Drosophila melanogaster: one gene and its partner. The protein of the gene in region 1 interacts with the protein of each later gene in a pairwise test. Each region holds a gene or a part of one and is shown on either strand. Other genes may lie near its edges.

Region 1 (5,304 bases):
AGGGGAAAACGAAAATAAGAAGGGGGATCCCTGGCCCAGCGTCTGCAGCTGACATGATATACGCTTTGATGTCTCGTTTTTTTGATAAAGTACTCAATCTATAAACGCCAAGAGCAAAAAACCGACTGCGGACCGGGGTCAATGCAAAAATATGATATGGAATTGCCTGGCCCTGGATCGGAATCTCTGGTATTGGCGACTGGCTGAGATTGGGATTGCTATTGCGATTGCGATTCGGATTCGGATTCGGATTTGGATTGCGACTGGGACTGGGACTGGTACTGCGATTGAGATTGGGCTGGTGACTCTGACTGGTGCACTAAAAAAGCGACAGCGCGCTGAAGCAGAGCCGCCAGTGGAAAAATGAAAACAAAAGCGAGGCCGAAATCAAAATCAAAAGAACCAGGCAAAAAATGGCGAGCCAGCAGCGACGCTTTAAAGGTAAACACCCCACACTCCTACTGCTGCTCCTGCTCCTGCTCTTGCTCCAGCTCCAACTCCAATACCATGACCAAAAGCCGGACAAATGGACAGCGGGACAATGGACACTGGGCACTGGACACTGAGATTGGCAACGGCTTTTGGCTAATTCGCGATGCTCCACACACAACGAAAAAAAAAATGCTTAGCTGGTAGCCGAGCACTGGAATACCCTAATATTTTGACTATTTACAAAATTCTTCATATTTCAACACTAGCTTAAATATTAAAAGATTAAACAGATTATTTTCGAAACACTATGCAATATCATGCAACTTCACCTATTTCACTGCATTCATAAATAATCTTGTGAAAGGTTTTTGTATTTCTAAGTCATCAAGCTGCATCAGCAATTCACCATTGCCCGAATGCTTGCAGGATATTGAAGAGCTGAAATGTCATTCATAAATCATACGCAACGATGTTGCTTGCCGCATTGGACTACGTTGCCATTTGCTCTACGCTTCTTTTGCGTTTTTCAACCATTTTTTGTCTTGCCATTTTTCGCTGCGTTTTTTTTTTTGCACTTCGTTGCTGTGCGCTTTAAATCGATTCGCAAGCAAATTAAAACATTTCAAGATTTATACGCACAACTGTCAAAAAATGTTCAAGTTCGTTTATCAGCGTGTCCTTATCGCACACCCCATACCAAAACCAAAGCCCCCCCCCTGACGATGCTCCTTTTCCTTAAATTTGCATTTTGCATTCGAAAGGCAACTTCCGGCATTCGTTTGCGAAGCCTCACTTGAAACGCACAAATGGCCCCACAAAAAAAAAAACAGTGGAATCTCCGCAAAACGAACAGGTATGTGTGTGTTTTCTTAAGTTAACATTTTATTTATTTTTGGAAGATTATGACAGTATTGGCAAATAAAACTATATTGCAGTGCATACATATTTAACAATAAAGATTCGCAGAAAATGTGTATCAACTTCAAGGATGCACTGTAGTTGGCATGCATGCATATATACCAGATAGAAATTTCATAGTTTTTGGTTGGCTTTGCGCAGCGTTAAGCCGCGGGCATTTTTTGTATGTGTATGTGTGAGTGCGTGCGTATCTGTGCGAGTATCTGTGTGCCATTCGAAAGTTTCGAGCGAAGCATCCTCAGGCACACAATCCTTGCAATCGCGCACAAAAAATTGACTAACTTTTATCATTTTCATGGCAGAAAGTTAAAAATTGTTAAAAATGAAAATATTTTTGCACGAGAACATGGGGAGGGAAAGCTCAAAATGAAATCATAATTTCAATTTCTAACTTCGAAATGCAAGTGCAAAATGTAAAATTAAATACGCAAATAGAAACACAATACAATATCCGATGACAATAAAAAAATAAAGAAGCAAACTGTAATGAGGAGCACAGCATTAAAAAATGGTTTTACCAGTTTCAAAAAGATTTCCATTTTTTTTAAATTTACAAAATATCACAGTTAATTTTATTTACCTTTTCTGTTATCACTCAGTTAAATTTAAAGTTACAGAATTGCTTAGAGATATTTTGAGTACCGGTTGGTGTCTTAGCTAATGCACTATGGTTCATTTCTTGGCTAATGTACTAAAAGCGAACTTCTTGCGCGCTAACTTAACGAAGACGTCGTTCAGTTTTTGTTTCAGGTGCTGTGTCCCGACTAAGTTGTACATTTTCGAAAATGTTTTATTATTTAGTTGCGCTAAAAAACAAGCTACAATTTGTGAAAAGCTCATAAAAGTTGAACAAAAACCGGTTTCAGAAGATCCCCCTTTATGCCACAATCAACACATTTATTTTCTCCTCTTTCTCCCGCGTGTTTTTGTTTTTGTTATTAATTTTTAGTTTATGCGCGTGTTTCAAAGAAGTTGGTTGTTTTAGCCACTTAACAATCAGTATAAACAGTCCCTTTTCAGTGTTTTTTTTCCTGTTAAAATCAAACAAAAGTGCCTATTTTAATTACTTTTCGAACGAGACACTAAAATATAAGCACTGTTTTATGAGGTAAGTTAACGGCAAATTAAACACAGCTCGCATATTTATTTTGGCCAGGCCAATTTGTGGCCTATGAAAAGATGAGCGCGATCTGAATGAATTTTATACCAGCACGTGAGAGAGCTTTCTTTCAGAGAGTTAGTGTGGGTCACCCTTGAGATGAAAGTGCAGCTGGGGGGCCAGTGGGCCGGATGGAAGGTCACCAAGTGTGAGGGAAATTGTGTAGAATAACAGGTGAAAATATGTGAAACGATGCTAAACATGGTGAAAACCAAAGACAATTGGGTTTATTTTGAAATGCAGCATGAGTTCGTAGAACTGGACCAAAAAAAAACATCTTAAGATTGATAGTAAACCAAAAACCTTTATGACAGCTCGTGAATAGAGAGCCCTGGCAAATCTATGCAATCTAATGAGATTCTGCCATCTAATTAGCTATGCTCTGTGAGAATCGCATAGAAATGCGGATTAAGTTGATTTTGGCCTGAATTTGGTACCAAAAGCGGAAGACGTTGGAAAACGGCTCTTTGTCATCAGGCTGCACATTAGGTTTGGTCTATTAAACGTGTGTGTTTGCTCACCGCTCACAAGAACCTGCGATATGTGCTGGGGGTAATTAAAGAGACAACATCTGCAGAATGCTGGCCGAAGATCTTTTATTTATGACTTGACCATTCACCCAGGCTCAGCATCATCAGGCAGTTCTTAGCATTCAGCTACGGGGCTTTAGTCCCAGCCTGGCCAAAAGTGTTTTGCAGTGGCTGTGTGTTATGCTCCGGCTGCTGCCTTTCCTGATGGCCAACAAATTCATAAACAACGCTGAAATCAAGTTTCGAGAGGCTCGAAGGGGACCGCAGTCCCAGTTGATGTAGGCACAATCAAGATGTTGGCTAGGAAAATTCTTGGACGCGCTGGGGCCTCCTCGACTTACCACCATCCGCACAAAAACTTCTCGTCTCACCTATTTCGCCAGAGTTAGCAGCTCTTGGGTAGCGATAAACCAATTACCCTTTGTTTAGACTTTAAAAGTACTTAATTTCTATAATACAATTATATGTGATTTAATCAATCGGCTTGGTAAACTGGATAGCGAAGAAGTATCTTTTAAATTGTAACTTTCGAAGGGATTTCAAGCGAACCGTATCATGATTTATTTTAGGGTACATCCATATTCGTTGCTGCCCTAGAAGATGCCATTTCTTATTCAGTTTTCGTTTTCGTTATTTATTTTTATCTGCATTTTTCTTTTGGCCGAGACGAAACGAGTTTTCCAACATTTTAAGCTTTTCTTTGGCCCCTCTCCCCCGATTTTCCCTCATATCATCTGGCTGCTGTCTTTGCGCTTCGCTGAAGTGAAGGAATTTAATGCCACACTGAAAATTGCAGCCTCTGATATTCCATATGCATTTCCATTATTATTTTCATCATTGCAGTCATCTTGAGCAATTGTAGACGAGGTAAAATGTCAAGTAAATCATTCGGTCAACTGAGTTTTACCTGATCATTTAAGTCGTGCAACAAATTCAATAAGCGAAATCATGCAGTTGCAAATGCTCACTGCAGATAATGGTGTTCAAAGTGAGTACAAGTCAAATTGCAGACCACGAATTACTTATATCGTATTATCCAATCAAACCACTTTGACTTTGATAAACGCGTTATGGGCCCTTGACTATAAAAGTGAGATTTATGATTCAAAGTCTATAATTGACTCCCCAGGCTCGATATGTGGATCATTCTATCGAATGTTCTGATCAGAATACAGAGAGAAACGATTTTTGCCAAAAAATTCAATATTTAGGATGGCTTTTTTGGCTATAACTTGACTAAAAATGGTCACAGAGCAAAAAGAAGTACAATTTTATACTCTCTACAACCAATACTAACAACCCCTTTCACTTTTGAACTGATTTTGTAAAATTAATTTTTGGCCAAATTTTCGCATTTTTTGTAAGGGGTAACATCATCAAAATTTGCAAAAAATTGAAAAATCCTATAATTCCCAAACTTGAATGCAAATCGATTGGAATTTAAAAAACAAACTCAATGAGGTATGACATTCCATATTTGGGTAATTATTTCCAATGTTATGATCAAAATACCAAATATTTTTTTCACACAAAATCTGGAAACTATTCTTGGCAAAAAACTGAATTTTCATTTTGGCTTTTTTGGCTATAACTGGACTAAAAATGGTCACAGAGCAAAAAGAAGTACCATTTTATACTCCCTACAACCAATACTAACAACCCCTATCACTTTTAAACTGATTTTGTAAAATTAATTTTTGGCCAAATTTTCGCATTTTTTGTAAGGGGTAACATCATCAAAATTTGCAAAAAATTGAAAAATCCTAGAATTCCCAAACTTGAATGCAAATCGATTGGAATTTAAAAAACAAACTCAACGAGGTATGACATTCCATATTTGGGTAATTTATTCCAATGTTATGATCGAAAAACCGATTATTTTTTTCACAAAAAATCTGGAAACTATTTTTGGCAAAAAACTGAATTTTCATGTTGGCTTTTTTGGGTATAACTTGACTAAAAATGGTCACAGAGCAAAAAGAAGTACCATTGTATACTCCTTACAACCAATACTAACAACCCCTCTCACTTTTAAACTGATTTTCTAAAATTAATTTTTGGCCAAATTTTCGCATGTTTTCAAAATTTTCAAAACTTACAAACAATGGCAAAAAAAAGTTTTCTTCTTTTTGAATACAGTTTGATTGGAAATTGAATTACGAGCACAACGATATATCACATTCCATAGTTGGAGTATTTTATCAAATGTTATGGCAAAAGAAATATGTATTTTGCAAAGTTAATTCATTTGAATGGAATGTTGGA
Region 2 (3,318 bases), 9.4 Mb from region 1:
CTGGACTTCCGACACTCTCCTATCGCTTGAGGTCTTCGAAAGCTGAAAGTTTTGGCTGAAAAAGATCTGGCTCTGGAATCCCAGCCAGCCGTAATCCCTGTGACCCACTGATGCCAACGCATCGTTGGGCGCGAAATGTGGAAGAGTTGTCAATGCCACGCGGTGTGGCCCCCCGAAGAGCGCGCCAATTTTCACCGCCCGACGTCCCACCAACACGCATAATTTCCCACGCTCCCGGCGGGAAGTGTTGGAATGGGCGGGGAATGGGGGTTGCGTAGCAGGGGGATTCACGAGGGGGAAGTCCTGACAAGTTGTCAGCGGGGCTGTTAATGAGCTGCGTGTGTTGAGTGAAAACGTGATGAATCTACACTGCCTCGGCCCACTTGTGCCTGCCCAGAAATGTGTAAGTAATCCCCGAGTTCTCAAAGATCAGCGAAGATCAAAACAAGATCTTAGATTCCAAGTCATGGAACGCTTAGCATAATAGCTCACCTACTTGTGGGAAAACTTTTAGAAGTGCATTTAATCGTTAGAAATGTTTTACAGTCGTATAAGGTAAATTATTCATCCCATTCAATAAAATACATATTTTGCATAAATTATTGCAATTTTATAGTTTTTTTTTTTGGAAGTTATGTCTCCTTAACTACCCACTGTACTAAAGATCTAAGGAAAATTGACTTTATAACAGAGATAGAGAGTATAAGCTATGTTATACCCCCTTATTTAAAGTCCAAGCTCAGATACCCTGCAGTAAGGGTATGCAAAGTATTGCAATTTGCGCACGAGCAGACAGCGACAACTATTTGATGATCTGGGGATCGGAGCAAAGTTCTCTGGCACACAACATGTGTCGACTCCCCTGCCACGCCCACCGGTACCGCCCCCCGGCCCAGTGTGGCGTTTAATAGCTTGCCTCAGCAGCTTGCCGCAATCGCGTGCACCAATGGTAAGTGGGGATCGAGCGTGGGAAACGCGCCCTTGCCGTAATCCCAAAAAAAGGCCATTTGAAAAGCACAAGTCCCTTCGCAGAAATATCAACAAAAACAAGGCAGCAAATCAGATACTTCAGCTGGCGCGGAAGCCATCGCAGAAAACCAAATAAACAGAAGCCTCCAGAAACAGATTCTCATCGGTTTTGACACCAAATGAAGTTGTATAATAGTCGAGTGCACGGGAAAAAATATTCCAGAACGTGAAGAAATATTTTAATTTTATATATCTTGAATAACATAAAGAATGGTGTTGACAAACACCACAGAACATAAGTTTGTAAATTCATACAAGAGAATTCAACTTGTATCTTAACTTGTAAAATTAGCTATACTTTCAAATAAATATTATATCTCCAATCATTTTTTAAAGTGCAAATCAATTTGTGATTGAGATATAGGCATACAGGGATTGTATGGTCCAATATATCTGGTGTCTTCTGGTTTTCTGTGAATTATTTGGAACTTCCCCAATTCGCGTTCCCTTCGAGCAACCAAGTATCCCAGTAACCAGCAACGTTTACTTTTCCGATTCCTAGGAACCCCAAGTAGGTGTCTTTAGGCCGGCGACAACTTTTGCCATCAGCAAATTTTCCTCAATGAAACACGCATCGTCTGCAGTCGACATCGCTGCTTCGGTTGCGTAAGCTGTCAGAAATCTGAGATGGTTAATGCAAGGTAAGTAAAAAAAATAAAATGCGACTGAATAATACCTCGCAGTATTTAGTACTAAAGACCAAAACAATTGTGAAATACGAAAGATGCAAATTGTGCAAAGTAACTGTAAAGAAAACCAAGGGATTCATATATGGGATGAGCCCATATTTCCGTAAAACTAATATGCCCTGAGCCGTGCTACTTAGGGTGTATCTAAGCTGCCGCTGCTGCTCCAATTCCTTGGGCCATTCAGTCGCTTAAGATCCGAAGGTGGAGCTGGGCCAGGCTTATGATGGCACGTCCCGAGGAGCAGAAGTCTCATGTTGGAGCAAAGTCACGATCTCATCAGTATCGAGAGGTTTTTAAGCCAATGATGGAGAGGAAGAGGCGGTCACGCATCAATCGCTGCCTGGACTTTATTAAGGACCTGCTTCAGGAGGTGTCGCATCTGGTGAGTGGTCTCACGTTGACCTCTGACCCATGGTCTTCTTACTCATCTCAGCTCGTAGCAAAATGATTTTGTATATTGTATCTCTTAAAATTGATACAATATAATATGTTTGAAATGTTTGCATACAGGACGGCGAGACCATGGCCAAAATGGATATGGGAGATGTCCTGGAATTGGCAGTTCACCACCTGAGCAAGAAAAACTGTCCGGTGGCCACGCCCACCACAGCGCCTACATCCGGAGTATATCAGAGCCCAATTGATTGCTATTGGAGTGGCTTTCGAGAATGCGTCCTGGAAGTGTCCCAATTTCTGCAACACAACGGCTATCAGCCGAGTTTCGAATTTGCGAAAGAATTGGATCATCTTGTGGCCTCCACATCCAAATCCAAGCCAAATCTCTGGAGGCCCTGGTAGTCGTCATGGGAAATATCCACTTAAGTTCCTCAACTCACAATTTTTAAATAGGATAATTATAAACTATTTAGACCCAAGTCCACTAAAGACAGTTTTACAATAGAGGCATGAAATAAAACTGCACATTCGTTTTTTGCTTTAAGTTTATCTTTTTCTTTTCGCAATAATTCCAAAAACTTGTTAGGTATGTGGTTTGTGTGTAGAATGTAGAATGTGTGTAGTGTAAGAATGAGTTTCCATTGGGGGTTTAAGTTTAGAATCGTTTTAATTGTTAATAAACATTGCTTAATGCATTCGAATGCTAAATTAAGTATTGCTTATGTTGAATATAATGCACACAAAGTAAGATTTTCATCTGCTGCTATCAGTATCGTTAACGTTATATCAATGTAGTAGCTTACTAGATACCCAAAAAAAAAATACATATCAATAGAGTAGTCGAGAAAAGGTGTTCTTTGAGATTATCCTTAAGCTTATTGGCTTTTTGTTTAGCAAATACGTGTGAGTGAGCATGGGATTTTCTTACAGTCTATGCTGAATTTTTTTGTCGGGACCCTCAAACTTTCCGCCTTTGTATGTACAATACGAGTATATGTATGTAGTTCACAATAATTTCGAGTTTGAGTGTAAGAAGCGCGAAAATTGATTGTTGCTGCAGTTTGTTTTAGTTTGGTTTTCCATCGACCTGCTGATTTGTATCTGTTGCATATATGTATAGGTATACTCAAAGTTTCGTATATTTAGATATCGATATCTTCTCAGCTTCGCTTGATTTACTCAGTTTTTATTTCACTTTTTTTTT

What was found.
Region 2: the proteins of CG12075 (region 1) and Hesr interact in a two-hybrid assay, tested with the Drosophila melanogaster proteins (one large-scale study listed by BioGRID).

What each region holds. Positions count from the first base shown.
Region 1 is NC_004354.4:8,836,027-8,841,330, forward strand, and holds the start of CG12075 (uncharacterized protein), read left to right. Parts: upstream 1-2,296; 5' UTR 2,297-2,458; intron 2,459-5,304.
Region 2 is NC_004354.4:18,203,741-18,207,058, reverse strand, and holds Hesr (HES-related), read left to right. Parts: upstream 1-1,914; 5' UTR 1,915-1,938; coding exon 1,939-2,100; intron 2,101-2,228; coding exon 2,229-2,516; 3' UTR 2,517-2,656; downstream 2,657-3,318.